4 linked regions of the Arabidopsis thaliana genome follow. The protein of the gene in region 1 interacts with the protein of each later gene in a pairwise test. Each region holds a gene or a part of one and is shown in the gene's direction. Other genes may lie near its edges.

Region 1 (8,168 bases):
TTGAAGACAGAAGTCATCAGATTAGTGTTGGGCATAAAGCGGATATCAGAAAATTAGGTGGTATTTGAAATCTGATTTGCTTTATCTGAATACTTAGCTATTCAATTTTTTTTGTTTTGTTAGTGTCCGAATATCCTCTTCTTATATCCATTAAAATCCAAACTATTTGTTGGATATCTAGTCTGTCAAATATTTTTCTATAAAATAAAACAATATAAAAATTAATCTAATAATAGTAATTTTTTATCAAAAAATAGTAAATTATATTTGTCAAAAATAGTAATATTTTATCAATGTTGTAATTCAAACAGTTAGTTCGATGATTACAAGATTATAAAACACATATAAGAATAATAAAATTAGAATTTATGTATGCAATTAATTTTGAAGAAGAGCAGATATTCACCTATTTAAATTATAGTATTTTTGATTTTCTCTGTTTTTGACGAATATCTCTTTTAAGTTTTGCTTCGTTAATTTATGGATATCTAAAATTTTCAAATCGAATTGAATTTAATAACAAATCGAAACAAATCTAACGAATGTTTTGTCAAATCGACGGAAGAGGTTTGAAACACTCCATTGATTGAAGTTAAGAACGTAATTTAAAGGAATCTTAATTTGTTCGTAAAAATAGTTGATGCACTTGTATGTAATTATTAAAAATCGTCTACTTATATTTTGTTTGTAAAAGTCATTTTTTAACAATCGAAAAGAAATGGTCAAATATTATGCTTAATTATAATATGTTTTGGTTATGTTTTCTTACTTTTAAAAGCTGAAATAATCGATGAGTGTCATCCAATCCAATCATTTTTTGTATTGAGTAAAATAATAGGAACCGGTTTTCATGATTCAACAAAACTCGGTGGTTGAATCATGAGAACCGGTTCCTACAAGCAGGCACCACGAGCTTGGTTCAACACCTTCGGTAATTATCTCCTAGATTTTGGGTTTACTTGCAGCAAATTTGATCCTTCTCTCTTCACATATCACAAAAATGGGAAAAAACTTGTGCTTCTACTCTATGTAGATGACTTTGTTGGTGATGAAATCAAAACTGATTCACACGGTCTTTTTCTTCACCAAACAGCTTATGCATCTGACATTCTACAATAGGCTGCTATGTCTGAATGTAATCTGATGCCGACTCTTTTACCACATAAAATCGACAACCTCAACTTTGAATTATCCTCGGATGCAACTTATTTTCGAAGCCTAGCTGGAAAATTGCAATAACTCACCATCACTCGGCCGTATATCCAGTATGTAGTCAATTTTGTTTGTCAACGAATGCATGCTCCAATAGTTGCAGATTTTGGTATTCTGAAACGAATCCTGCGGTATATGCTTAAATCATGCATTTGATTAGGTTTACTTTGCTTGTTTCGCAAGTATTCTTGTTTCATCACGATTCACGAACGAATGTATTTTACGCTAAGTAGAAAATTTTTATTTGTTAGACAGTTATTGTACAATTCAATGACTGATGTTGTGGCAAATTTGTCAAAATTTATCAAACTTTTGTCAGAGATAGTATTTGACAAATTTGTCAAAATTATATACGTTCTGACCTAAAATTTTCGAAGAAAACAAAAACGTGTTGGTAATATAAAACGCGTAGGAATTTAGAAAACCAAATAATTTGTGAACAGATAAGATTTGATATGGGATTCGAGCGGCGAAAGAGTTAAAGAAAACAGCACCGCCCAACAGTCGTCAATGATTACAATTTGTTTTCAGTTCATAAATTAATCCAATGAATTGCTTATGAACTGACGATAAAAAAGAATTGCTTATAACTTTGTGAATAGGAAATAATAAAGTATTTGTGGTTACAGAGTTGTCTTTATGCAATATACAAAAATAAAAATCCGAAGGAAGAGACGTTGTTAGGTCTTAGAATTATGAACAAACGTGTGGGTTGTCTCTGTCTCTTGTAAGAAACCAAGTCATACATAATTTGCATATATAATATGACCGACCAACCAAATAATATAATGTTATGGGCTCTTAACAAAAACATATATAAATAGTCATTTCGTTGTGACAAGAAAAAAAAAATAAATAAAAATAATAGTCATTTCGATATTTTGTTGGTTGGCTAGTGAAAAAATTGCCTTAAGCGCATTATCGTTTTTTCACAATAAAATTGACTCATGAAATATGGGAACGAGAGTTCTATAAAAATTACATTTTGGGTAGGCCCTACACTGATGACTATAAGGGCCCATAAAGCCGTAATGGGCTTAAAGGTGGACCACATCTGGACCATAAAACCAGGCTGTCTAACTGGTATGCAGCTGTAGTCCACGTGTCATATCATTTCGTCATTAAGAAAAATTCTTACTAAATTAGTGATTCAATCCTTTAAATCCAGTGGTCCAATTTTTCTTTCCATAAAGAGTTAAAGACTATACTAAAAAAAAAACACTGCATCATTATATCAATCAAAAGGCTAAATTTTTAACTGTTCACGTTTTTAATATTACGTATATAGATTAGAGATCATGGGATGATCATTAGAGATAATTGATGATTAAGTATGACACGTGGCGGAATCTCAACGGTACTTATTATACAGCTGTGAATTTGTAGGGTTTGACGTAGACTTGTGAATTGTGATCTTTCCCCAGCATTTAATTAGCTGGCTAATTAACCTGCAAAACTCAATTTTTTTTTGTTCTAATTTAACTCATTAAATCCCTAAAAAATTGCATTTCAAGGAAACAATATTTCTTTTAGGATAAATAAGAAAAATAATTAATTCTTAACGGGCAAAACTCAAACTTTAACTTTAAAAAAACAAATTCATGAAAAAATTGCATGTGAAGGAAACAATATTTTTTAAAAGTTTTAATTAAAAAAAAGGTAATCTTGAAATGGATGAAACATTCATTTCATAGTGTTTAGTTTCCAGAAAGAATCTCGTTTTTTTCTGCTGTAATTTTTGGGGAATTATTTTTTATCTGTCGGTTTTACTTTTCCTTCTTTGAAAATTTGTAATTTTCTTTGGTTTCACAGCAAATTTTTAATCAAATTTTAGATGATAAAAAAAATGGATGAGACATTCATTATTATTTTTCAAAGAGATAAATTTATTTATAAAATTGAGGAAAAAAGATAAATTATTTAAAGAGAGAGTGCAAGTAGGGAAGAAGTCATCTTCTTTTTATTGCTTCAAGAGTCAATCATCTTCAAACCTAATGATCTTCAAAAAAATTTCTGGTTATGCATCTCTTTCTTGAAAAAATAATCATATAATCACATCAAAAAGAGTCAATTATCATCTTCATTATCTTAATATAATCAATCAATAATTCAATTTAAAAGGTAAATTAAAGTAAGCAATGTAGACCCAAAAAAAAAAGTCTGCTTTTGTTTCAAAACATATAAGGACAGTGAAAGGGTTTGTGCATAAATGTTGTTGCTTCATCTTTCTCATAACATTAGCTATGAGATTATGAAAGTGAAGATATAAAACAAACACCTAAAAGTGAAAAGTACAAGACACCAAATCCTTCATTTTCATCTCTTACACAACCACACTAAGTTACCAAAAAACAGAATCTGTTCTTTTTTTGCCTTCTTGCAGATTTCTTCAGAGTCAAAGACACATAAAGGTTCGATTTTTATCTCTTAAAATCTTCAAAGTTTTCGTTTTTCTTTTCAATTTCGTTGAATTTGATTCTGGGTTTTGTTCTCTGTTAGTAACTGAATCTATGTCAGCTTTAGATAATTCTAGTTAGGGACTTATGGTTCTCAATTTCGAGTCTTTTGATGTTATCTTGTTGTTTTAACGGATTTGAATCTAAAATCTTGGTCTCCATTGATTCAGATTTATAATTGAGTTGTGAGTTTTGGAGGCCATGGACGTAGGAGAGAGCAATGAGAGGGTAAAAGACGATTCTGCCCTTCAAGCTTCACCGAGGAGTCCTCTGAGTTCTATAGATCTTGCAATTGATGGAGCTATGAATGCTTCTATTGAGCAGTTGTATCATAACGTTTGTGAAATGGAGAGTTCTGATGATCAGTCTCCGTCCAGGGCGAGTTTTATTTCGTATGGAGCTGAATCTAGGATTGATTTGGAGTTGAGGCATTTGGTTGGAGATGTAGGAGAAGAAGGAGAGAGCAAGAAAGAGATTATCTTGGAGAAGAAGGAAGAAAGTAATGGAGAAGGTAGCTTGAGTCAGAAGAAACCTCTTTCGAATGGTAAGAAGGTTGCGAAAACGAGTCCTAATAATCCGAAGATGCCGGGTTCGAGGATCTCTTCGAGGAAATCACCGGATTTGGGGAAGGTTTCTGTTGATGAGGAGAGTCCTGAGCTTGGTGTGGTGTTGTTGAAGCAAGCCAGAGAGTTGGTTTCTTCAGGTGAGAATTTAAACAAGGCTCTTGATTTAGCGTTGAGAGCGGTGAAAGTGTTTGAGAAATGTGGGGAAGGAGAGAAACAACTTGGGTTGAATTTGGTGATGTCTTTGCATATCTTGGCAGCGATATATGCAGGGTTAGGGAGATACAATGACGCTGTGCCTGTTCTTGAACGTTCTATCGAGATACCGATGATTGAAGATGGTGAGGATCACGCGTTGGCGAAATTTGCAGGGTGTATGCAGCTTGGTGACATGTATGGTTTGATGGGTCAAGTTGAAAATTCGATTATGCTATACACCGCGGGTTTGGAGATTCAAAGACAAGTTCTTGGAGAATCGGATGCACGAGTTGGCGAAACTTGTAGGTACTTAGCGGAAGCTCATGTTCAAGCAATGCAGTTTGAAGAAGCCTCAAGGCTTTGTCAAATGGCATTGGACATTCACAAAGAAAACGGTGCTGCCGCTACAGCTTCTATTGAAGAAGCTGCGGATAGAAAACTGATGGGACTTATCTGCGATGCGAAAGGTGATTATGAAGTTGCGCTTGAGCATTATGTTTTAGCGAGCATGGCAATGTCATCTCAGAACCATAGAGAAGATGTTGCTGCTGTAGATTGCAGTATTGGTGATGCTTACATGTCGCTAGCTAGGTTTGATGAAGCGATATTCGCATACCAGAAGGCTTTAGCTGTGTTTAAGCAAGGAAAAGGTGAGACTCATTCCTCTGTTGCTTTGGTTTACGTTAGGCTTGCTGACTTGTACAACAAGATTGGGAAAACACGCGATTCCAAATCGTACTGCGAAAACGCTCTCAAGATTTACCTAAAACCGACTCCAGGAACTCCTATGGAAGAGGTTGCGACTGGTTTTATAGAGATTTCTGCGATATATCAGTCAATGAATGAACTTGATCAAGCTCTTAAGTTGTTGAGACGGGCGTTGAAGATATATGCAAACGCTCCAGGTCAACAGAACACGATTGCAGGTATTGAAGCTCAAATGGGTGTGGTTACTTATATGATGGGAAATTACTCCGAGTCCTACGACATATTCAAGAGCGCGATATCAAAGTTCCGCAATAGCGGAGAGAAAAAAACCGCTCTTTTCGGGATTGCTTTGAATCAGATGGGACTAGCTTGCGTTCAGCGTTACGCGATCAATGAAGCTGCAGATTTGTTTGAAGAAGCGAAAACTATTCTTGAGAAAGAGTGTGGACCGTACCATCCCGATACATTAGCGGTTTACAGTAACCTTGCTGGAACGTACGACGCAATGGGAAGGTAAATTTGGAACTTAAAACAATTTTCTTGCTAGGTTATGTTTTTTGGTATTTCCCTGCGGTACAAGCAATGTGTTACTTGCTTTACAGGTTAGATGATGCTATAGAGATATTGGAGTATGTTGTTGGGACAAGAGAAGAGAAGCTCGGGACGGCAAATCCCGAGGTTGAGGACGAGAAGCAGAGGCTTGCTGCGTTGTTGAAAGAAGCTGGAAGAGGAAGGAGTAAAAGAAACAGAGCACTTCTTACCCTTTTGGACAACAACCCTGAAATTGCAAATGGACAGAGACCGGTTTATTGATTAACCGGATTATTGTCCGGTCTAAAATGTATATATATACAAAATACAAGTTCGAATACGGTACTTACACGGTCGAGGGAGAAGGAAAAAAATGAAGAGGCTTTATGTTTTCTAGTTTTATAAAAAGTGAAGGAAAAAAAAAAAAATCTTGCATTTGTTTTCTTTATAAATAAAATGTAAAGAGTAAAACGCAATTGATTTGGTCGTTTTGTAATGTGATTTACATTGAAATTTTGGAGTTTAAAAATCTCCTTGATGGCAGTTTCTCTAACTTTGAGCACTGATCTTGAGTAAACAACAAGTGTTTGGTTACTAAAACATCTTGTCTGGTCTTGTCATGTAATGTTCATGAATGTCAACAAAAAACAATAACCGAATATACACATACATATGTAGCATGAGAACATAAAGAGACGACCCACCGAATCAAGAAGTTGTCACTTAGCAAAGCAACAAAAGAAAAGTTGTCACTAAGCAAAAGATAATCTGAACTAAGCGGTTTAAAATTTCTTACCAAACAAGTTACTGATTATTTGATATAGTCTTTTATATAATAACTAATATGATAAGATGTGAATAGAAACATTCTGCTTAAAGCTGCATATATTGTAACCAATGACTTTTTGAAGAAAATTTTACATTGATTCAAAAACAAAAAGAGAGATGTGAATAGAAATTTTGGCTAGTTACTTGAAAGCACCAGAAATATGCTAGACATTTATTAGTTTATATCATGGCAACTTATTTTTTCGTGAGTTTACATGCTTTTTGGGTAGGGAGAGGTGGATCCGATATCGAACCATCGAGGATTCGGTTTGCGACTAGCATATTCGCGGTTTCGGTGTAATGTATGCCATCCCAACTTATGAAATTTTTACGGTTTTGGCAGGAAGAACTATAGAGTTCTGTCCCATTTAGAAATATTGTCTTCCCACATCCCATTCCACGTCCGATCGCCCCAACGCAACAATAGTCAAAAGGATCAATAAAACCTGCATTATAGATTTGATAAAACCGGAAATGAATGAGAAGTCTTAAGTCTAACCGTAACCAATAAAATCCAAAAATATAAACCGTTTAATTGGTTTAGTGCATACCTAGAGCCTTTGCTTTGGTGATCAAGTTGTATTTGGCCGAGTAGACATCAACATAAGTAAAGAAAGAAGAAGGTAACTCTTTCTTTAGTTGAGTGATTTTGTTCTTGAGTTGTTTGTTGAACTCAATTGCCACATTGTTCAGAGGCTTCAAACAACCGTAGGGATCTCGCGGTATAGCGGGAAAAGCTTTCAGAAGATACGGTAAACAGCCTGTCGGTCCGGTGTTATGAATTGAGAAGAATCTTGCTCCTTCTTTGTATAACAACTAATAAAATAAATCATTGTTAGAGATTGTTTTATACCAAAGTCTCCGATAATTTTAAGATACTTACTTTTAAGGCAATGGTGAAGTTTTCAATGATTAAGGGTATAGTTGCTTTGAGTTGTTCCTCTGTCATGTTTTGGAACCCAATCGCGAGATCGTTTTGGCCGATATCCAATGTATAAAGAGCTTTTGAGAAATCTTTGGGCCGTGCAAAGACTTCTTTGCAGAATGGAGTTTTTCCTAAGGCCAAAACAACAAATATCAACAAAGTTTTCATTAAAACAAAACATGTAGAAGACTTAGTTTTAGTTTTAAATTCTGGTTTGGTAATTTGTATGACTTAACCGGTTGAACTTACCGTTGGTTTGGTTGTAGAGAGACAAGGTACGAGTCTTAAAGTGAATGAATTGGGACACTTGAGTCCCAAGATGGAATGGGCTAAAACAAGCAAGTGTGGGGCGGATGCAAGAACCGCCCGTCGCAAAATTAGCACCATGCCGGTAATTAGCTCCAACCGAATCCAAGTATGGTGTTAAATACGGCAAAGTAAGATTTTCGGCTGCCCAAAATCATAACAAATATATCGTCAAAATCGATTCAATAACTAGAAGCAAATGTGTGTTTCAAATATACTAAGGGCATCTCCAACCCTACTCTAAGTAAAAATGCAAAACATTTCTCTAACCCTACTCTATAATTGATTCTAAAATAGAGATTTCTGCAACTCTATATATAAGTGTTAACAAATTGGCAACACAAAAATTTCTCTTATCTTATACTCTAAAATCAATGTAGAATTAAGTTGCTAATGAATATAGTTAGTAGAATTTACAAAAGGGTAAAATTGAAAATCAAA
Region 2 (6,195 bases), on another chromosome or scaffold:
AAGAATAATTGGGAATTGGGAATTATAGGTGTGGCCACCAATCGGAAAGAAGAAGTTTGAGACTCTATCTTACCTCCCTGACCTTACTGACGTCGAATTGGCTAAGGAAGTTGACTACCTTCTCCGCAACAAATGGATTCCTTGTGTTGAATTCGAGTTGGAGGTAATATACACAAAACTTTTCCTTTGTCTACTAATCATTATTATTTTTTTCGTTTTCATTGCTAGAAATATTAGCCTATAACCGGATTTTTTAGAACCGAAATAGACTATATCACCTTGTGCATATCCTCCAATATCAATTGTATTGAATGGTTTTCTTATGTGTTTATAGCACGGATTTGTGTACCGTGAGCACGGAAACACTCCCGGATACTACGATGGACGGTACTGGACAATGTGGAAGCTTCCATTGTTCGGATGCACCGACTCCGCTCAAGTGTTGAAGGAAGTTGAAGAATGCAAGAAGGAGTACCCGGGCGCCTTCATTAGGATCATCGGATTCGACAACACCCGTCAAGTCCAATGCATCAGTTTCATTGCCTACAAGCCCCCAAGCTTCACTGATGCTTAAATCCTTTTCTGGAATATTCAATGTTGACTATCCGGAACCCAATTTTGTATGGTCAATGTAAATTTAAGTAATTATTTTGCCAAAGTGAAAAAACTGAAGGTTTGTTTTTCTATCGTTTCCTCTATAAAAATCTCTATTCATATCACTTCATTTCTGCTCTTATCACTTTTAACTCTTTTTATTCGTTTTATCTCTTTTAACTAACATTTTAGTTCCTTTAAATTTCTCTCCTAATTCTTGCCTTTGGTTCTCTAATGAAAGAGTACCCTTTTTAGGTACATTTCGCACTTGAAAGCATAGCAAAGATGCGTCCATCAATCAAATTTTGAGGGTTGATTTAGAACATTTTAATTTAAAGATGAAAAACAGCCAGTAAAGGTAGTAAAAATACGTAGAAAATAGAGATGTCGTCTCAGAGAAGATGAAAGTTACATAGCCCTTTGGAAAGGAAAAAATGATCACTACCGTCAAAAGTTTGTCACAAGAGATACATGCTCAAAAATTCGCAACACTAAGCCTACGATGGACGGATACAAAGGGATCTGTTTCTTTTACTTTACCCTAACTACTCCTTTCTCAGTTGGCTAGCTTCAAAAAACAGAGTTGCCACGGGAGACAGAATGTTTAAATGGAATCAACAAGTGAACACAAACTGCATGTTCTGTCACGAACCTATGGAAACAAGACACCATCTTTTTTTTGGGTGCTCTTACTCGCAGAAGGTATGGGAGAAGCTGATAAGGGGAATACTACTTGATAAGTACTCGACATATTGGAGGGAAGTCTTTAAAACCATTTGTGACAAAAACTATGACAAAACAAAAATCTTCATTCTACGGTATGTCTTCCAAAACACGGTTCATTCGATTTGGGGAGAAAGAAATGCTTGAAAGCATGGTGAACAACCATCACCAATGGAGAAACTTGTCAAGTTAATTGACAAAAATGTTTGGAACCGGCTGAGCACAATACGGAGTGGGGGGAGCTTTGAAGTATGAAGGAGGTCTTCAAGTTTGGTTTGGTACAAGACAAGCTTAAGACCAAATCCTCTGTTTTAGATTTGTTTTTCAAAAAAGTATGCATTAAGTTGTAAACACGTTTATTTCTCTTTTTAAAATCTAATCTAAAAATTTTCTTTTTTAAAATGACATAGAAAAATCCAACTGTATATTTTAAATCCATAAACATGAATTCTAGAGCCGCAAGTCCAAAAATTTAGAGATGACATCATAGCAAGCAAGGACACGCAAGAATTAATGAAATTTATAATGGAGATAACAAAGCATGAATATTTATAATTTGGAAACTGTTTTACATTAAATTAGATAGTTTACGATACATTCAAAGCTAAAACACTTATTTACAATGAAAAGTAATCAATGTTTCTTGAATGGGTTTGGCTACTTCTTCTCATATGGTTGGACCGGGGCATATATGAGCTTTTACGTGGTATTCGTGGACCCATGACCATATGAGCTTCTTCATGTGGCCTTAGAGTGTGGATTCTTCCCTCGGATCCACACCATCCATTGAAGTGTGTTATAAAATTTCCCCATGATCCGTCATGGCTTTTGTGCTTAAGTTGTCATGGTGGGAATTATCTTGAGGTGCCACATTCGTGCTTAAGTGGGCCGTAAGTGCAATTGCGTTGTGCTCCAAAAGGAACGGTGCCGTGGGTTCCTCTTGTTCATCAGAAATATATTAATTAGCCGTAAAACCTGAAAATTCACAAGCATTTGGATTGTTTTCTAATTTAATATCCATTATGTGACTAAAAGTTCTAGTGATCGTACATACTACATAGAAAATAATAACACAAAATACTAGTTTACATTTCCCAATTAAAAACCATTTTGAATGAACTCTGTCTGATTTAATTATACTTTTAAAATGTGGGATGAATTCAAAGATTATACTTATATTCTTATTATTTAAGATTATCAAGTGGAAAAATAAAAATATGAATGTGTTAATATAAGGTAATAGAAATTTAATCATTTTTTTAATCTATATGTAAAAAGTATTTAACCGATATCTACAATTTGACGCCTCCCAATTGAAAGGAGCCAAAAGCAACCGATCAAGTGGAGACCAGTAGCCATACACATTCACTCCTACCCTTACATGAGAAAGATAAGATTATGGAGTTTTCTGCCACGTGATCTTATCCTAGTGGTCCAAATCGATAAGGGTGTCAACACCTTTCCTTAATCCTGTGGCAATTAACGACGTTATCATGAATTATGGCCCCTTTGATCATTAGGGCTAGTTGCCTCTAGCGGTTCCCACTATATAAAGATGACAAAACCAACAGACAAACAAGTAAGTAAGAGAAAAACCAAAAGAAGAAGAGAAACAACAAGAAGAAGTAATGGCTTCCTCTATGTTCTCCTCCACCGCTGTGGTTACCTCCCCGGCTCAAGCCACCATGGTCGCTCCATTCACCGGCTTGAAGTCATCCGCTTCTTTCCCGGTCACCCGCAAGGCCAACAACGACATTACTTCCATCACAAGCAACGGAGGAAGAGTTAGCTGCATGAAGGTAAATGTCATTAATGAAAACTGTCTTTTGTCATGTGCAATTAGTGCAACTGAACAATACTTTAGAATAATTGGGAATTCGAATTTATAGGTGTGGCCACCAATCGGAAAGAAGAAGTTTGAGACTCTATCTTACCTCCCTGACCTTAGTGACGTTGAATTGGCTAAGGAAGTTGACTACCTTCTCCGCAACAAGTGGATTCCTTGTGTTGAATTCGAGTTGGAGGTAATATACACTGAACTTTTCCTTTGTCTCTAAGCATCCTTTATTCTTCTTCTTCATTGCTAGAAACTTAAGTGGATAACCGAAATAGACTATCACCAATATATATATCAATTGTATTGAATGGTTTTCTTTATATATAGCACGGATTTGTGTACCGTGAGCACGGAAACACTCCCGGATACTATGATGGACGATACTGGACAATGTGGAAGCTTCCATTGTTCGGATGCACCGACTCCGCTCAAGTGTTGAAGGAAGTTGAAGAATGCAAGAAGGAGTACCCTGGCGCCTTCATTAGGATCATCGGATTCGACAACACCCGTCAAGTCCAATGCATCAGTTTCATTGCCTACAAGCCCCCAAGCTTCACCGAAGCTTAATCCCCTTTCTGGAATATTCAGCGTTGATTATTCTGGAACCCATTTCTATGTGGTCAATGCAAATTTAAGAAATTATTTGCCGACTTAACAGTTGAGGAACTATTGTTTGAAAGTGAAAATGTTATTCCTATCAGTTTCTCTATAATTATAGTTATCATTTCATTTCATTTTTGCCCTTAAATCTTTGAAATCTTATTTTTCGTTTAGCTCCTTTAAACAACATTGTGGCTCCTTTAAATTATCCTCATAATTCTTGCTTTTGACTCCCTAGACTAACCAATAAACTCTAATAAAAAAAGAAAAACTTGCTACATTGTTTTAAGAAATTTTGCACATGAAAGCAATCAATCAAACCTCGATATTTAGAGAAAAGTTTATGTAAGGGAGTGTAACCATTTTTCAGATGACATAGCCATTGGAGATTTGGAAAAGGTAGTATATACAGAAAATTCAAATGCATCTTTTAAAATTATAAACATAAAACATGTATTCCAAACCCCTAAGTGGGATATTAAGTCAAGAAATAGCATTACATAAAGCAAGGATCGACAAAGACTGAAATTTGTCAAGCATGAAGTTACTAAATTTTGGAAATTTTGTTTACGTTAAATTTGATCATTGGTTATGCATTAAAAGCTGAAACAGTTATTTAGAAGGAAAAGTAGTTAACGTTCCCAAAAAGTTCTAAATAAAACTAGATTCCAAATGATAATGAAAACGTCGCATCTACTATATGTTTGGTTTTAAGTTTTTGTTTTGACAAAAAATCATATGTTTTTGGATTCTTCTATGCAAACGAAATATAAAAAATTCATGATTCAAATACAAAATACATATAAAAATAATAATTCAAATTATCGAACATTTTTTCCATCTCCCGGATTTAATTCACACATTTTGGCTTCAATTAAAATCCAAGAAAAAGAAACAAAATGACTTATAAAAGACAGAAACTAGTAACTTAGATGGATGGGTTAAGACTTAAGAGTTAAGACTATCTCACTTTCGAAAAATGATTTATTTAGCTGAGGTGCGGAGTGGAGTGGACCTTGTGATCCTTTTCCCTACACGAAAGTTTTTTCGTGACCAGTTAATGTGTACTTTGTACACGTTTCTTCTCATATATATGATTGAAAAGGGGGCATTAATTTGTGAGCCTGAAGGTAGTAGTCGTGATCCATGAGTGCATGACCATAGTTTTATGTGACTTTAAGATGAGTTCTTGACTCCGTTCTACACCTTTGATTACATACTCAAGTTTGCATGGTGGAAATCAGCTTGAGGTGCCATATTTGTGCTTGAGGGGGCCGTAAGTGCAATGGCATGGTACTCCAAGGAGAACGGTTGCGTATGTGGGTTCCCCATTGTTATTGTGATGTGATCAGAGTCGCAAGATAATCGTGAGCTGATATTACTTGTTGATCTAGAGGCAGCGTGCATTACCTCATATAGAAGATACCATGGACTTTGGGAGGTTTTCTTGGAAATTCTTCCATGAGGGGTTTACCGCGCACTTGATACATGTAGATGATGGTTTTGCCGTTTCGTTTGTTCGCTCGGTCTCTTTGTCCCACAAACATATCTTGCATGATGTAGTTGTTGTTAGTATCGACTCAAATATTTACTCTCTCCAACCAGTAAGGTTTTGCTTTTATCCTAGCCACATAAAAATCAGAAATAAAAGTACTATTTGCTAAAAATGAAGTGAAAGTATTGAATTAACCGAAATCAATGTATTCAAATTTTGTCTCGCTTTTCTTTTGTCGACTAATATATTATCATTTGAAGATAATATATAACTTTTCCAACAAAAAGATTATCGACAATTTATTGTGGTAAATGATTTTCAGGATGTATCCAGAATCGACAGTCTACCAGTACTAGAATATATCTAATAGATAAATGGTTCTTCTTACACTATGCTCATTATGGATTCTTTAATTTACTCTTTCACAAAAGGGACGATGACGAAGGAGTCTCTCTACAGCACGTTAGAATTCTTTTGATAGGTTTACTTCCATTAGTCTGAAATGGAATCTTATTTATAAGTCTGCCTGAAAAATCTTAACAATTGATATTAATAAAACGGAAAGAGTAATGAATATTTTTAAGAGCATCTCGAATCTATCTCTATTTTTATTTATATACTCTATTTTTGTATTTATTTAACTCTAACTCATCTCTATTTTCATTTGTAAAATAGAAATTTCTAATTTTTTTTCTAAAGCAAAAAATAGAGATTTTTATTTTTTCTCTTATTTATTTTTTCTAACGAATTTTTGAGGAACCATTGAAGTTAAAATATAAATCTCTATTATATTTTTTCCTCTATATTCAGAAAGAAAATAATAGAAACAAATATTGGAGATGGTTAAAGCTTTTTTTTTTGTCCGGATAAATATCATACAATATATTTATGTAAATATCAAATTTAAATAATTTTGTTATAACTATTTTTTAATGCGACCTTATTT
Region 3 (8,051 bases), on another chromosome or scaffold:
GTGCTATTACTGTATCTTAATCTTGATTTGTGTTGAAGAAATGAAATACAAAATGGTTTCCCAACTCTTTCCATCATATCCCACTTACTCCATAGTTACAGTCAAGGCTCTTTAGCTATGAATCAGAATTTTCAAGTCAGGATCATTTGTCGGTCTAATGGCTCACAAGTCATAACATCATCATAATCCAAAGAGCAAAAGTCTTTTATCTTATGAGAATTCACTGTATCCTACTCAAGACTATTAGTCTACTTCATCTTAACACATCCATTAAGTCAAAATAGTGTAAAGACAGGTACATTACAAAGTCAAGAGTATTTACCCATTGATTTGCATTTTGTATGTTTGAAGAAAGATTTGCTAATTGTGTTTGCTAAAGATGAATGTTTAAGACATTCATCGAGATCTTGTCTTAACGACTTGTCCTCTAGAAGCTTTTCTCTCCATCTTCTCCCTCTTTTTGCGAGTCTTCTCATCCTCAACACCTCCCTAAGTTCAGTCATATAGACAAAACACAGTCCATTTTAAATGATCATGTTTTATTTCCCCCTTGTTCAAAGCACTTTGAGAGTATTCAAGACAAAGTGATTACCTCTGAACCATGTGACAATAGTCCCTTAATAAGACCAGAAGCTTTGTATGCTCCAAATGCAGGGATCTAAAATAAAAACAAGCAAAAGTAAATGGTTGCATCATTCCTACAGAGCAAATCTGTTGTTTGCCTTAAAATATGGCAATAAAGAAAATTGAGATGGGTATCATACCACTAAATACGCGTACCAAAACTTTCCAGAGATGATAGATCCGACCTGCACAAAGCAGGTGATGTAGAGTACATCATGCAAATATCTGCAAGGAAGAATAGAGCATCAGGCTTATACTATAGAATCTACCATAAATCCAATCCACCATAAAGATGACGATTATGTAGCAACTGATAAACGATAAAACTCGGAGAAAGCCACAACTAGTAAAACATCACTCATTTCAAACAACTGATAATGAAACAGTCCTCCTACTATTGCTTTTGGTTATGGAAACAGAATCCAACTATACAGAAACACTTGAGACAAAAGCAGGCACTTTCTAGTTGATCAATTTAAAAGACAAATCTTTCCGAACGTACCCACACATTCCAGGAGTGCTCATGTCAAATCCACCATCAAGAAGTTCACCAGCATCACTAACACTAGGCTTTGCCATTTGATGAAGAAGCTTATATGGAATCCCGTAACCTAACGATGTTAACACAAGACCAATCCAATTTTTCCAGGTATGACTTGAATGCGAAATTATAACCCTCACTAGGACATACAAAATCTGCAAACACATATTGCCAAAAACATCAATCCTCGAATTCATCGAAACAAAATCAGCTAAACATTGAAACTTTCGAGACCTAAAGATCAAATTCAACGGATTTTTAGTTCCATATTGATACAAGTAACGTATCTAAACAAATCTAAGCTCAACGGATTAATGTATTGAGAATTTAAGAAATGAGGAACGAGGAAGTTACGTTGCAAAGGATCATAATGAGACGGAGCTTAGCCATGTGTCGAGCGTTCTCATCTTTCCTCTTCTTTGCTCCTTGATTCGCCATGAGTTAAAAGAGAATGATCAAAGAGACGAGGAAGATAGTTTTTTCAGTTTCTGTAATTCTTCTTTTGCTTTGGATCTTCACAAATGGTGTGAGAGAAAACTTTTAGGTGTCTAAGCTTGTTTAATCCAATTATATATTGACACCTGTACCTTTTTGTCGTCCTCTTTTCTCAAATACTTTTTTCACGCAGGAAATGTTTTGTTTGGCTGCGTGTCGTAATTACGCTTTTCCTTGGGTTTAGGACAAAGATTCTTAATTTGGGCTTTCGTCTATCCTTATCAGTTGTTGTTGGAAAACTGAAACAGTTCTATCTAAATGGGCCAGAACAACCTAAAAGGCCCATAAAATCTGACATCTTAAGGCCTATCAACAGAAAACTGCATTATTTCAGTTTTCCAATAACAAGGTCTGTGTGAAAATCACCGGCGCTCGGAGAAGACATCAACATAAAACCTTTTACCGCTGTTCCAAAAACTAAAAAGTATACCATTTCTATGATCAATCGGTAAAACGATATTTATAACGGAACAAGAACAAAAGTAGTGTAAATTTTTTTCCCTGTTTTATGTTGTTCTATAGACAAAAAAAAATGAAGATATCATATCTTGTGGGCCTATATCCAATATTTGAGTGTAGCCCATATTTGGATCAAACATCACGTCTTACACAATGGTTCTCGGATATCCCAATCTGAGTATGGTTTTAGGTCAATTCAACATAGTATTATTTTGTCAACAAGCACCATTATAGCAAAAACAAAGATGTATCAAAGAAAAGTAGCGTTAGGGGTTGGTCAGAAAAAGACATGTTTGCAGTGTAAGAAATGACGTGGACACGTGGAATCATACGCAATGCAACATGTCATCATTAAGGTCCATTGTTCAACTTACCCATTGAGAACAAAACTAGAAAAATTATAGACCGTTGGATCATCTTTAAGGACCATGTCTGATTCACGTATCTCTCTCCCACTTGGAATATGCTTAGCCTATGTATGGGACACATTCGCTAGGTCCACCAGTATCCTGTACGCAAACGCAACATCGAGAAGCTTCCGTTTCCAATATTCTATACTATAATTACAAATGTTAAAAATTGTTTATAAAATTTGTAATTTGACTTGTAGACATCATTAGGGTAAAGATATATCAAGAAATTACTTTTTTCATAGGAATAAAAATAGTCAACTCTCTTAAATAAGGGACAAATACAATCCTCTAATGACCTGGAAAACAACTATGCAATCAACATTAACAAATGTAATTAGAAGTACAACACAATCAATTTTGGTTAAAAAATTGAAAGTATATAAAAATAAAAAAATAAAAAACGTGTCTTAGTTGATAAATAACTCATTAATCACGCCTCTATCTCTCTGTTTTAAGAGTTTAACAGTTAAAGATCTTCTTCTCTATCTTCCTTATTTGACTACATCTCCGTTTATTCTTGGGTCTCTCTCTATCTCTCTTATCCAGATTTATCATCGTCATTACATATAAACATCAAACTTAACTTTTCAATATTCTCATTCACTTTTTCCTCTTGTGCTCTAATTCTTATCCGGATCCGATTTCTCTCATACAAAGATTCTGTTTTTCTTCTTGGGTTATTGTTCTTGCTCTGTTTCCGTATCTCAAAGTTTCAGCTGCTGAATTGAATTTGCATTGATCGTAGATGAGACCAATCATTAGGTTATCATCTCTCAGTAGAATTAGATGGGCTCTAAGGAACAATCAAGAACGTTATTCTTCAACTTTCTACTCCAAAAGCCGCAAACTTTTGATCGGTGTCAATCAAAATCAAGCTCTGCTGAATACAAACACTGATAATTCAAGTTTGTATTCAAGGTCAAGTATCTTTAGAGGCTTATCAGCAGAAGCAGTAGAAGCAGCTGATCCTGCTACTACTAGGGTCACCGTCTCAGGTTTTGTTTCTCTTTGCAAAGAAATTCTATCAATCTCAGAGTTCGTGTTTATTGGTTTGCTGATATTTGTTGAATGATGACAGATGTGAATAGAACAGGTCCTCTTGTTGAGTATGAGAGAAGAATCAGTAATGGTGAACTCATGACTGGTGATATCTGCCAAGTATGATAAAAATAATAGCCACTCTTTTTTACTTCATTGAAGCTTTTGAGCTATAAGATTAAATGTGATTCGTGTTACTTGCGGCTTAAGGTTGTGTTTGAAATGTTGTAGATTAGTGCATTGAGAGAGCTTCAGAGACTATATGATGAGCTTGTGGATTCAGTAGATACATGTCGTTTAGATCGGTATAATACTTCTGATAAATCCTCAAGGTGATTGTTCTGTTCTCTTAGCCTTGACACCTTTCCTTCTCTGTTTAGGATTGAGAACTTGAGTCTCACACAACTGTGTTTTTGTGTAATACAGAAGTCGTTGGTTTTGGTCTCGGCTCATGCCACAGACTTCTTACTCACCCGTCAAAGGATTATACCTTTATGGAGGTGTAGGTACAGGAAAAACCATGTTGATGGACTTATTCTTTGATCAACTGTAAGTTTGTATGATCAAATTCTTATCCTTTTTTTTCGAGCATTGCGGTTTCATGACAATTCTCTTGTTTCATTAGGCCTTGTACTTGGAAGAAGCAGAGGATACATTTCCATGATTTCATGTTGAGTGTTCATAGCCGCTTGCAAGTATGGATAATTGAGTTTCCATTGTTTCTCTATTGATTTTAGTAGGAAAAGCTTTAGCCTTTTGAGATACGTTGTTTGATTTCGGTTCATAATGTTTGCAGAAGCACAAGGGTTTATCAGATCCACTTGAAGTTGTTGCCCAAGAGATAGCTCATGATGCAATCTTACTATGTCTAGATGAGTTCATGGTATGTACACTATTTCATATATTTATTTTCTTGAAAGTGATCATCTTTGGATCAACACATCTTGATTTTTTCGGCTACTGTTTCTGTTATTATAGGTAACTGATGTTGCAGATGCTCTAATACTAAACCGACTCTTTGGACATCTGTTTAGCAATGGTGTTGTAAGTGTCATCTTTACTTACATTATGCTGCTACAATCATCTTAAAACTGACTTTTGTCCATGCTTGCTATATAAAATATAGATTCTTGTTGCTACATCGAATCGGAATCCTGATAAACTCTATGAAGGAGGACTCCAAAGAGATCTGTTCCTACCTTTCATTTCTTCATTGAAGGTAGTCTAATCTACTATCATTAGTCCACTTTCAGTACCTTTTTAATTCAAAGACTGCATCAAGATTTCCATTTTCGCAGGAACGAAGTGTGGTTCATGAGATCGGTTCAGCGGTTGATTACCGGAAACTAACTTCGGTATTGCTCTTAATCCCATTAAAAACTCCCTAGACTGGCTTCAAGGTAGAGCTGAGTTCAATAACTGGGACACTTCTTCATTTTTGCAGGCTGAGCAAGGATTCTACTTCATTGGTAAAGATCTTTCGACCCTTTTGAAACAGAAGTTCCGACAATTGATTGGAGACAATGTTGTTGCCCGTCCACAGGTAGTAGAAGTGGTGATGGGAAGAAAATTACAGGTACAGTTTATTATACCAATCTCTGTGTAACTCCAACAACACTTGTGTTGTCTGTATATAAGTTCTTCATCAGACCAAATGCTGCTTCATGAACAGATTCCATTAGGTGCCAATGGATGTGCATACTTTCCTTTTGAAGAGCTATGTGACCGACCTCTTGGAGCTGCGGATTACTTCGGTTTGTTCAGTAAGATACTTTACTTTGTCTCTCTCTCATCTGCAAATCTTGTCTCTAAACAGTGCTTCTTCTTCTTCTTGATGTTGCAGAGAAGTTTCATACTCTTGCCTTGGACGAAATTCCAGTGTTTGGGCTTCATAACCGTACTGCTGCATATAGATTCGTCACGCTAGTCGATGTATGCAATTCCTGGTTCTTGTTTTGTTCTTATAAGATGGCACTACCAAACCATTTCATCAAAATCTGATAATGATGGTTTAAGAATTGCAGGTAATGTATGAGAACAGAGCGAGGTTGTTGTGTACAGCTGAAGCAAATCCTCAAGAACTTTTGGAAAAGATTATAACAATCTCAGAGGCGAAATCGATGGGTCCAAGAACATCATCAAGATCAAGAAAGAACGATGTTACTGAGCTCTGCGTGGATAACGAATTAGGTTTCGCAAAAGACAGAACCATCAGTAGGTAATGTAATAACAGACTCTGTGATTAACAACTAAAATCTATTAGTTTCATTGGTTACTCATCAAGCGGTTATGTTTATTGTGTAGATTAACAGAAATGAACAGCAAAGAATACTTGGAGCACCATGCCATAACACACAATCTGTAACACTCATACTAGACCCTTGATGATTCTTCATGGGATTCTTCAATTAAATCCTATAATAGCTTATTGTATTTTCTGTATCACACCAACAGATTGATCCGAACCATGAAAAGGAAATTGTTTTTCCATTGTTGTAACATTGAATTTTCGATTTACTGCTATATTAAATCTAATGAAATTGCATCTTTTCATGTATGCATCAAGAACAATAACACATTGCAATATTAACCAGATTGTTGCTAAACATTTAAGTGGTAGAAGCAATACATCAAGAGCAACTACGATATTAAACTAGTTTTGGAAAGAAAGAGAGTAGGAGCCAGTGTTGGGATCTTTAACCGCCTTAAAGTTGTCCACACTCATTCCAAATCGACCCAAAATCGAGTTTCCCATCTCCTTCAGCTTAGCTACAAACACAAATATATTCAGTATAAATGACTGTTAATGAATCGATGCATATATATGACCACGCTCTTGATGCATGCTGATTGCAAAAGATAATAAAAGTTCGTGATGGAATACTCTCAGAACTTACTTATAGCTTCTTCTTTCATCTTTTCTCGCTTCTCAGCAGCAAGAGGTTCAAGACGTCGAATCCCTTTCCTAGCTTGATCATTTGAAGGATCAAGTTCTAAGATCTTCTTCAGGTCTGCATATGAGAAGACAGAGGCTCAGTATGGCTCTTCCACTAAACCTGATCTACAACCAAAAGCTATCTATCATGTAACAAGTACCAGAAACTAACCACCTAAAACTCCTAGCTTATTTTTCTAATAAACTGGTTTCATGAGTAAACCTCAAAGGGAAAGACTTTTGCTTGCATACAAGGTAAATAAATACTCATGAACTCACCCGTGACAGCATCTTCGAAGTGTTCAAGTTTCTCGTGTGCTTCAGCCCTTCGAACCAAGGCCTTATTGTAGGTAGGATTTAGCTCTAAGGCTTTTGTGCATTCCTTGATTGTTTCTTCACATTTACCCTGACAAACATTTCACAGAAAATCTTGAGCACTATACTCATCTTCTATCGGAATTCAAATAGACCAAGAAGTAATCAAAATAAAGGACATACCAATTTGAGGAAACATACACCTCTGTTTAAATAGCATATGGATCGAAGCTCTATAGACTCAGGTAACTCCTGAACAAGCTCTAAAGCAAAAGCATACTTTGACAATGCTTCTTCATAAAGGCCATTAACGAACAGTTTATTTCCTTCCGCTTTAGCCTCATTTGCTTCTGCCAAAGCTTTCTCCTTCCAAACAAAAAAGACAAATTTCAATAACTATCAACACTAGCTTTAAAGCATTCTCTACTAATCTCATCCAAAGGTTCAACCTTTAACAGCAAAATTGAAACTTTGTCAATAGGTACAGTTGTAATGAGAACTAGCTAATAAACCCATAAACCATAAACTAATTTGAATGTGGATTCACCTTGTTTGATCCGTCGTCGACTATGGCTTCTCCTTCACTCATTAGCTCAATCTGCTCTTCCTTCTTCTCCGAGTGCTGTGGTTCCTCCTGACTCGTGACGGCGTCATTTTTGGTACCATCTTCCTCTCCTTCTTCATCGCTAATTTCACGTTCGCTGGCAGTTTCGAACCCATCGGAATCATCTCCGTCGACTTGTTTCGTCTCCGTGGGTTGCGGTGAGGATGAAGACGCTGGCTTTGGTTCGTTTTTGATGAGGATCTCGTCTTCACTCTCACTTGATTCGATCAGTACCATCTTCAATCTAAGGTTCTTCGAGAGTTTGCTTGCACAAAGATAGATTTCAGCGCGAGACTTATTCGATCGTCGATCTAGCTTTCCTCACAAATCAAATCAGAATCCAGAGCACTCGATAGAGAAGAAGAAGGGTCAAGATGCCTTGTTTAAACGACGACGTTATACTTTAGCTGGTTAAACGGGTTTTACTAACGACGTTAGGCAATCTCAGGCCTGGTATTGGCCCATTAAGTATATCATATGGTTTTGTGAATAAGATCTTTGTTCGCAAAAGTACTGTTCTTATAATTTGGTGTTTTTAGTATAAATCCAATTCACATTATTCTCAGGTAAGAACATATCATTTAAAAAAAAAATCATAACACGTTGATGATTCCGTAGCAAAATCAT
Region 4 (8,204 bases), 6.7 Mb from region 1:
AGTCTTCAACATTACCAATCAAGATGACAATATAAATACACGGTGTGAAATACTGTAAATAAAAACATAAGAGAAATCATATACGACTAATTAAAAAAAAAATATATATGATTCGATGCCTTCGCTTATAATTTTTATAGAAAACAAAAAATTATTGTATTTTCTAATTTTTTTTTTTAACTTTATTTTCTTTACGAATGAAAGATGTGTTTTAATAAAGAACTTACATTATGGGGATAAATAATAATAGAAAAATAAAAATAATGAAAGCCTATATATATGTATCCCTCTAATGATGTGTATAATTAGGATTAGACATCTCATAACTCTCAACAAGTTGACTTGTTGACTTAGCTCTTCGTCAATGAGAGCGAACATGTTTGTTGGAACACATCATTAGTGGACAAATGAATGCAGATTAAAAGAAAAATTATAATCAAATTTTCTAGAAAAACATATGACAGATACTTTGAGAGATAATAGAGTTTTTGTTTGATTGAATATAACATATTGTGGTTTGTTTTCACGTGGTTTAGAAAAGAAACAAGAGTGGGCTTTTAAATTGGGCCCACAGAGTGGCAGAAGCAGGGCTGAGAGAGTAATGGGTCCTACAAAACGCCCATGATCCCAAAATTTCCAAAGAAAATGGAGACAATCTTCTGTGTTTATCCGAAAGCTACCCTCACGCTTTGGATTTTCTTCTTCTTTTTTTTTTCTCTCTCTTTTCTTTTTTAATACTACTTATTTTTCTATAAATTTGTATATCTAGCTATAAAGGTAATAGAAAATGGTAAGTTATTTTTTCCTTCCGGTACAAAAGATGAAAACATGCAATAGTCGGCAAAGGTCCACACTCCACACATTTGTCTGCACATCTATCCAATATTCATTCATAGGTTCAACCACAACTTTATCTACTACATATATATTTTTTATTTTATTGAACGAATTTATATTCGTTTTCCATTTCTGTCATATATCATAGTAGATGTTGATAGTTGGGTAATGGAGCAAGTGAAAGATTGATGGTTGGTAGACCATAGATTCATGCATTCATACCATAAGGTATACTGATGGTGATTGGGTAAATTTTTGAGTCAGCTATTACAATTGAAAAGTTCATCAAATGACAAAACTATTACAACTTAGATCTTTGACAGCCAAAAGAAAAAAAAAAAAAAAAGAGAAAAAAAAAACTAAATTGTTGTTAGAAATTAGAAGTCAGAAGTAAGAAGACTCCCATAGGAATACAGTTCTGGCAACCAATTTCTTAGTTCTTTATTGGGCATTCATATCTTAGTTGGGCCTGACTCATATATATTTTGAACTTTTTGTACGCAATTGTATCTAACACTATAGTCTTACATTGTTCATATATTTAATGTTTTATATTGATTGCTACCTATATATTTTGATATGATGTAGATCCAACTATTTCTAGGTTGAATTGTCTTTTCGAACAGATTTTGTTTCCGGATTCACCATAAAAAAAAAAAAAAACTTATGTGACAGAAAGTACTATAGAAAGAATCGTGTTTACAACAATAAAGAGACTTGACCCAAACAAAAAACGTTTACAACAATAAAGAGTTGAACAATAATACGGTACGATTGTGTATGTTGAATCATCTCCTCCACTTGGACGTGTCCATTTGACAACGGAAAAAAGTGTGGCCGTGTTATCTTTCTTTGTAACGTTTACAGTTTCAATTGTTTAGTTTGATCAAATAATTAACTTGTGAATTTTATGGATGCAATATCTTGAAAACTAGGAAATCATATCTGATCATCCTGCTATAAAAAAAATAATACATGCATTTTAATATTCATGGTTTCACATGAATACTTCGGTCATCCATTTTTCAATTACACGAGTGTAAATCTGTAATATCAATATTCATTTATAATTATAACGGGTTGTGATTTGTGAAATTGTGGGTATAGATAAAACTTCAAAACCTATTGAAATGAATATCTATATACTTGGAATAGTAGTAGACACATTTTGTAATGAGTAACTTAAGCACACCGGTTCTCACTCACACTCGTCTAATGGAGAAAAATGGTATATTATATACCTCATATAGGAACATGATCATATGATTTAGGAGTCATAAGCATGAGATTAACAAGATATTTTGGTCCACATTAGGAATCTACTAAAGGAACTATTTTCTTATAACCTAAAAATCTTGGTTTGGTAAAAAGAACAACCTTAGATTATTTGGTCTTTTATCGATTCATGTAATTGTGTATCAAATGATTAAAATCTAATGCATCCTACTCAAACACGTCATTTAAGAAACCCTATATAGTACAAACACGATCCAATCTCCAAATTAACCCATAGTATATCATAGACGAGCATAATATTTTTGGTCAAATATAAAATTAGATGCACTAGTTCCCTTTATTTAGGCAGATGGACTTTCTTCTAATCGAAAATAATTGTTCTCAATGAGCCGTCAAACTTTGTGAAATATGGATATAAATTCATGACATCTACATAATTTTTGGTTTAACATGTGAAATTGAACTTAGGATCTATTTCATTCGAATTCTTACCATATACTAACCAAATATAAATAATGTTTACTGCTAAATACTATTTATATAAGTTTGTTCTTCACTAAAGAAATTTGTTGATTAGTTTGTTTTTCTAATTGAGAATCTCTTATTTCAGGACCGATAAAAAGGAAGTGATTTCCGGTTTTCGATTCAATTATTTCGGTTTAAGTCGGTTTACAAATCATCCACCCTGTAAATCACGGAGCAACATCCATAATCCATACAGATCAAACCACGTGGACATGTTACAGTGTTCCTTATCACAGAAGATGAGTACTCCTGTCATCTTTCCCCTTTTCACTTTAACATAACACTCTGTACACTAGTCTGATCAAAAAACCTCAAAACACAGCAACCGCCATTTCTTTCCAAATTCCCCCAATTCCCATTCCAACTTTATCTTCTGAAGTAGAAGAAGAAGCCATAGAAATGCTTTGAAGTTTCTGTAAGTGTTCTTACTCACTCTAAAAACTTCAATTTTGGTCTTTGTGCTTTTTTCTAACAGATCGGTGAAATTTTCTGAATCTGCTTTTTGTTTTTCCAGGTAAAGAGAAAGATCTACAATTGTTTTGAATATGCCGAGGCAGAATCAAAGCGTAGAGAATCTACTTCTACTTGGCAAAATCAGGAAACGTGGTTGTTCTTCGCCGACATCGTCGACTTCTTCGATTCTCCGTGAAGGTTATAGATTCAAAAGAGCGATAGTTGTTGGTAAAAGAGGAGGATCCACTACTCCTGTACCTACATGGAGACTTATGGGTCGATCTCCTTCTCCACGAGCTTCCGGTGCTTTACACGCTGCTGCTTCTCCGTCGTCTCACTGCGGGAGCAAAACCGGTAAAGTATCAGCTCCTGCTCCTGTTTCAGCTAGGAAGTTAGCTGCGACGCTTTGGGAGATGAACGAGATGCCTTCACCTAGAGTTGTGGAGGAGGCTGCGCCAATGATTAGAAAGAGTAGAAAGGAGAGAATCGCGCCGCTTCCTCCGCCGAGATCATCGGTTCATTCTGGTTCTCTACCGCCTCATCTTTCTGATCCGTCGCATAGTCCAGTCTCTGAGGTAAAATGCTTTGGTTATGATTGGTTGAGAGGAAGAGAATGTGCTGTAATTCCAACTTCTTGCTGGCTGCCATGTGCTTTAATTCTGACCGATCAAAAGAGAGAGAGAAAAACAATAATATATATAGTATAGTATTGATTGATTCGGGGAAGTTATAAAGATCTCATCTTTAACTGATAAAATTGATAATCTTTGTGTGATTCTAAGGTCTGAATTTAGTCAAAGTTGTGATTTTTTTGGCAACCTCTATGAGTATTTTAATCATCAAGGGAGATTATTATTCGTATAAGCTTCTGGTTGATGTTAAGGAGTGGGATTAGAGAAGAATAGAAAACTGTTTTGATCTTAAGAATCTTTTGTCATGTGCTCTATAACGCACATTTATGTTTATATGAAAGGGCGTTTCTTTATAAGTTGGTGCCTATTATTCTTGCATAATTGGGCACTTCTACTAGTTTTTATTCTTTCTCATTCGTTGGTCATATGGAGGTAGCTGGTTGTTTTTTAGAGGTTGATTTATTGTGAATAATGTAGGCCTAGATTCTCTTATAATGGAGACCTAAGAAAAATTATATATAATGCTAAATCTGGCAATGGACAATGCGAAGAATTCTGCTTTCTTTACTTCTGTGTGTTAGGTAATTGGATAGCTGAGAAACTTGTTGATTTTTGTAGAGGATGGAAAGATCAGGGACTGGGAGTCGCCAGAGAAGAGCTTCATCAACTGTGCAAAAGCTTAGGCTTGGAGACTGCAATGTGGGGGCTAGGGATCCTATTAACAGTGGCAGCTTCATGGATGTAAGTTGATTTTTTTATTTTTTTTTCACTCTTGGGGATGTTTCTTTGAGCATTATGAGGAACCCTTTCTTCTAGCAGTTTTCATAATTTTCTCAAACCAAATTTGGTATTTGATTAAGGATGAAAGTAGTATATTATTGAGCATTATTGGCTCCAGAGGCTGTTGGTTTTTTTACTTTGGAAGCATACGTACACATAATCTATGGTTTGTTTTGTTATGCACAGAAACATTGCAAATAACGGTATAAGAAACTAGGAGACACTCAATCCGTTATGATTAGTTAATTTGCCTCCATCATCTATAAATCAATATGTGTGCAAGAGAGTGATGTTCAAAAATATTTGAAATGTGTTTTTCCAATGCAGATTGAGACTCGATCACGGGTGGAGACACCGACTGGGTCAACTGTGGGTGTCAAAACACGGTTGAAGGATTGTAGTAACGCTCTCACAACATCAAAAGAGCTTCTCAAAATCATTAACAGAATGTGGGGTCAAGACGACCGCCCATCTTCTAGCATGTCCCTCGTCTCTGCTTTACATTCTGAGCTCGAAAGAGCTCGCTTACAGGTCAATCAGTTAATCCACGAACATAAACCGGAAAACAACGACATTAGCTACTTGATGAAGCGTTTTGCCGAAGAGAAAGCTGTGTGGAAAAGCAACGAGCAAGAAGTTGTTGAGGCTGCAATCGAATCTGTTGCTGGTGAGCTAGAAGTGGAGAGGAAGCTGAGGAGACGGTTTGAGAGCTTGAACAAGAAATTGGGCAAAGAATTGGCTGAAACAAAATCAGCTCTGATGAAAGCAGTTAAAGAAATCGAGAACGAGAAGCGAGCGAGAGTGATGGTTGAGAAAGTTTGTGATGAACTAGCAAGAGACATAAGCGAAGACAAAGCCGAAGTTGAAGAACTGAAGAGAGAATCTTTTAAAGTCAAAGAAGAAGTCGAAAAGGAAAGAGAGATGTTGCAGTTAGCAGATGCATTGCGGGAAGAGAGAGTACAGATGAAACTATCGGAGGCTAAACACCAGCTCGAGGAGAAAAACGCAGCTGTTGATAAGCTAAGAAACCAGCTTCAAACTTACCTCAAAGCAAAAAGATGTAAAGAGAAGACCCGTGAACCACCTCAAACTCAGCTACATAACGAAGAGGCTGGAGATTATTTAAACCATCACATCAGTTTTGGATCATATAACATCGAAGATGGAGAAGTCGAGAATGGAAATGAAGAAGGTTCAGGCGAAAGCGACCTTCATTCCATAGAACTGAACATAGACAACAAGAGCTATAAATGGCCTTATGGTGAAGAGAACAGAGGAAGAAAATCAACGCCAAGGAAAAGCCTTTCTTTACAAAGAAGCATATCGGATTGTGTTGATTGGGTTGTACAGAGCGAGAAGCTTCAAAAAAGTGGAGATGGAGGGTTGGATTGGGGAAGATCTATTGACGTTGAGCCTAAAGGGTATATAGATGAAACACAAGCTTATAAACCAAACAAGGCTTCTTCAAAAGATCACCATATCCTCTCGGGTTCGAGACTAAGTAACTTCCGCGGTGGATCTGTTTCAAAGTCGCGGTTATCGGATGCTTCGAAAGGCGAGAACCAGAATGCCAGAAAATCAAGATGGTAATATGATCAAGAAATTTTATTCACATTTTCAGCGCAGAGATAACAGAATCTAAAGACTTTACATCTACATTTTTTCTCTGTTCGCTCGTTTTGTCAAGAGTGATTCTCTCATCTGTAAGTGACATAAAACATGAATTTGAACTGGTAATGATCCAAACATGTAAGAGCATGAATTTACACGAAATCGTCTTTTGATTTATATCATTTAAGAGTTAGAACGCCTACAAGATCGAAAAAAAGACACTAATCGTCGAGCCATTTCCTGATTCGATCCTTGACGAAATCATTACGAGCTTTGACGCGAGCTTGTTGCGGTGAGATGTTGGCGAGTGAGAGATACGCTCCGGCGACGAAGAGAGAAACGCCCGCCGCGAAAAAACCCACCGACACTACTAACTGCCGCCGTGTCGGCGGATACGACATAAAAAACACCATCTTATCGTTTACCGCCGTCTGTTGCAAAAGCTGTTTAATACTAACTGTTAATGGGCCGGGGTTTTTTATTTTATTTTGGGCTTTATTTTTAATCTCCAATTTCTCAACAAATTAAAAAAAAAGAGTATTAAAAAAAAGGAATGAAGATTAAACCGAGAAGGCGAGAACTTTTTTTTTTTTTGTTATTGGTTATTTAATATTATAAACAATGGTTTAATGGATTATTTTCGAATTTAGATCCATACAAAATTTGAAAAGAGCCCAATCAACTATACCAAACCGAACCAAGCTCTTAAATCAAAATCGACCCGAGCTAATAAACTGACTAAACCGATCTACTATGAAGCCCTAATCTTCAATCGGAAAATCCAAAAAAGCCGCCGGCCAACAGATCTGCGAATATTCTTCGGAATAGGACTTCCGACGAGTCTGGACAATGCGAGCCGAACGGAGATGGTAACACAGATTTCGTCGCCATCCCACGACTGTAGAGCAATATATGATTGATTGTTGATTTTTATGGTCTGTGTGTGGGTTTGTTGATCTAAATCTTATTGTATTGTAAGATCAAAAGCCAAGAAACGAAAGATCCGGAGTAAGCTCAACATCATAGCAAAAATGTTGCTCGTGAGGAGGACTAAGATTTGGCTTTGAGCTTTGATTCTACGACGTTTTACTCGCTATGAATCTAAACATTTTGTAAGTAAAGCGTGAAGCTTATGTCGAAATCATATTATAGCTACTAAAATAAGTAGAATGTCTAATCTCTTAGATCAACAATATAATATTAATAGGCTACATCTTTATAAAAATTAAGGCTAGTATTTACTTAAAATTAGTGTTTAAGGATATTTTTTTTAAAAAAAAAATCATAACATTAACATTTATGAAAATTATTTTTGATTTTCATGATATTAACTCACAAAATCTCATTTTCAATGAGAATATTTGAAAAATGGTAAAAAAAACTCTTGTCTTTAAAAGAAAAATATGTATTCAAGGCAACAATTTAAATTTTTGCCTTAAACCGCTTTTGACCTTCGCACATTATGTTTCATAGATAAAAAGAGTTATGGAAAAAACTTTAGATCTTAACCTAAAATGCATGAATTATAGTTAAGGTTGGTTCGATATTGATAACATTATGATATTGCACATATATTAATGTGATTCATGTGCCTGAAAGATCTGAAGGTCTTGTCAAACGAAGTAAATTTAATTTTTGTTTTAAGAGATCTGAGATCAAAAAAATTACTGAGTAGCTATATCAATTAAAATCTATTGTTAGTTTTCAGAAATAGAGACCGAAAAAGAACTACTGTTCTAAATTAATAGTGTTAGACATTGGACATAAAATGTACAATCTTGCATAAAACTGGTTTGATTTGATTTTTTAATGTCGTAGTTGTTATAATATTACATTAGTATATGTATAAAGCAAAATCTTCAGTCCTCTAATCTTCCCTCTAGTTTTCATTTTCTGTTCTTAGAAGCATTTTCCTTCACTATAACATTAAAGTTTTTCCTAATCTTGCTTCTCTTAGCATTTGTAATAGTGGTTTTTACAAAACGATAGGATTAACAAAGACAAATTCTTAAAACTAATTCGGTTAATTGCTCTACTCGACTTGAGAATCATTCATATTCTCTGTGACAATAATTACTTTAGCTTTTGTATTGTGAAGTTGAGAATAAGTAAATTAATTAAGCTAAAATG

What was found.
Region 2: the proteins of KLCR2 (region 1) and RBCS2B interact in a two-hybrid assay, tested with the Arabidopsis thaliana proteins (one large-scale study listed by BioGRID).
Region 3: the proteins of KLCR2 (region 1) and AT4G30490 interact in a two-hybrid assay, tested with the Arabidopsis thaliana proteins (one large-scale study listed by BioGRID).
Region 4: the proteins of KLCR2 (region 1) and AT3G11590 interact in a two-hybrid assay, tested with the Arabidopsis thaliana proteins (one large-scale study listed by BioGRID).

What each region holds. Positions count from the first base shown.
Region 1 is NC_003074.8:10,378,295-10,386,462, reverse strand, and holds KLCR2 (Tetratricopeptide repeat (TPR)-like superfamily protein), read left to right. Parts: upstream 1-3,213; 5' UTR 3,214-3,623; intron 3,624-3,804; exon of another isoform or gene 3,805-3,838; 5' UTR 3,839-3,869; coding exon 3,870-5,650; coding exon of another isoform or gene 5,651-5,654; exon of another isoform or gene 5,655-5,739; coding exon 5,740-5,950; 3' UTR 5,951-6,233; downstream 6,234-8,168. Other genes in the region: AT3G27950 (GDSL-like Lipase/Acylhydrolase superfamily protein), read right to left, coding at 6,692-6,942, 7,048-7,312, 7,380-7,552, 7,671-7,871.
Region 2 is NC_003076.8:15,378,729-15,384,923, reverse strand, and holds RBCS2B (Ribulose bisphosphate carboxylase (small chain) family protein), read left to right. Parts: upstream 1-2,852; 5' UTR 2,853-2,945; coding exon 2,946-3,116; intron 3,117-3,206; coding exon 3,207-3,341; intron 3,342-3,481; coding exon 3,482-3,721; 3' UTR 3,722-4,017; downstream 4,018-6,195. Other genes in the region: RBCS1B (Ribulose bisphosphate carboxylase (small chain) family protein), read left to right, coding at 29-163, 335-574. UniProt on the Arabidopsis thaliana protein: RuBisCO catalyzes two reactions: the carboxylation of D-ribulose 1,5-bisphosphate, the primary event in carbon dioxide fixation, as well as the oxidative fragmentation of the pentose substrate.
Region 3 is NC_003075.7:14,897,110-14,905,160, reverse strand, and holds AT4G30490 (AFG1-like ATPase family protein), read left to right. Parts: upstream 1-3,016; 5' UTR 3,017-3,277; coding exon 3,278-3,527; intron 3,528-3,610; coding exon 3,611-3,690; intron 3,691-3,801; coding exon 3,802-3,902; intron 3,903-3,996; coding exon 3,997-4,119; intron 4,120-4,195; coding exon 4,196-4,265; intron 4,266-4,366; coding exon 4,367-4,453; intron 4,454-4,548; coding exon 4,549-4,614; intron 4,615-4,696; coding exon 4,697-4,789; intron 4,790-4,868; coding exon 4,869-4,925; intron 4,926-5,014; coding exon 5,015-5,146; intron 5,147-5,242; coding exon 5,243-5,333; intron 5,334-5,413; coding exon 5,414-5,502; intron 5,503-5,594; coding exon 5,595-5,788; intron 5,789-5,874; coding exon 5,875-5,935; 3' UTR 5,936-6,127; downstream 6,128-8,051. Other genes in the region: AT4G30500 (transmembrane protein (DUF788)), read right to left, coding at 397-489, 593-658, 765-849, 1,127-1,320, 1,520-1,603; TPR1 (Tetratricopeptide repeat (TPR)-like superfamily protein), read right to left, coding at 6,224-6,339, 6,468-6,581, 6,785-6,911, 7,004-7,186, 7,368-7,661.
Region 4 is NC_003074.8:3,657,485-3,665,688, forward strand, and holds AT3G11590 (golgin family A protein), read left to right. Parts: upstream 1-2,813; 5' UTR 2,814-3,013; intron 3,014-3,112; 5' UTR 3,113-3,143; coding exon 3,144-3,626; intron 3,627-3,679; exon of another isoform or gene 3,680-4,301; coding exon 4,302-4,424; intron 4,425-4,790; coding exon 4,791-6,053; 3' UTR 6,054-6,250; downstream 6,251-8,204. Other genes in the region: AT3G11591 (bric-a-brac protein), read right to left, coding at 6,296-6,487.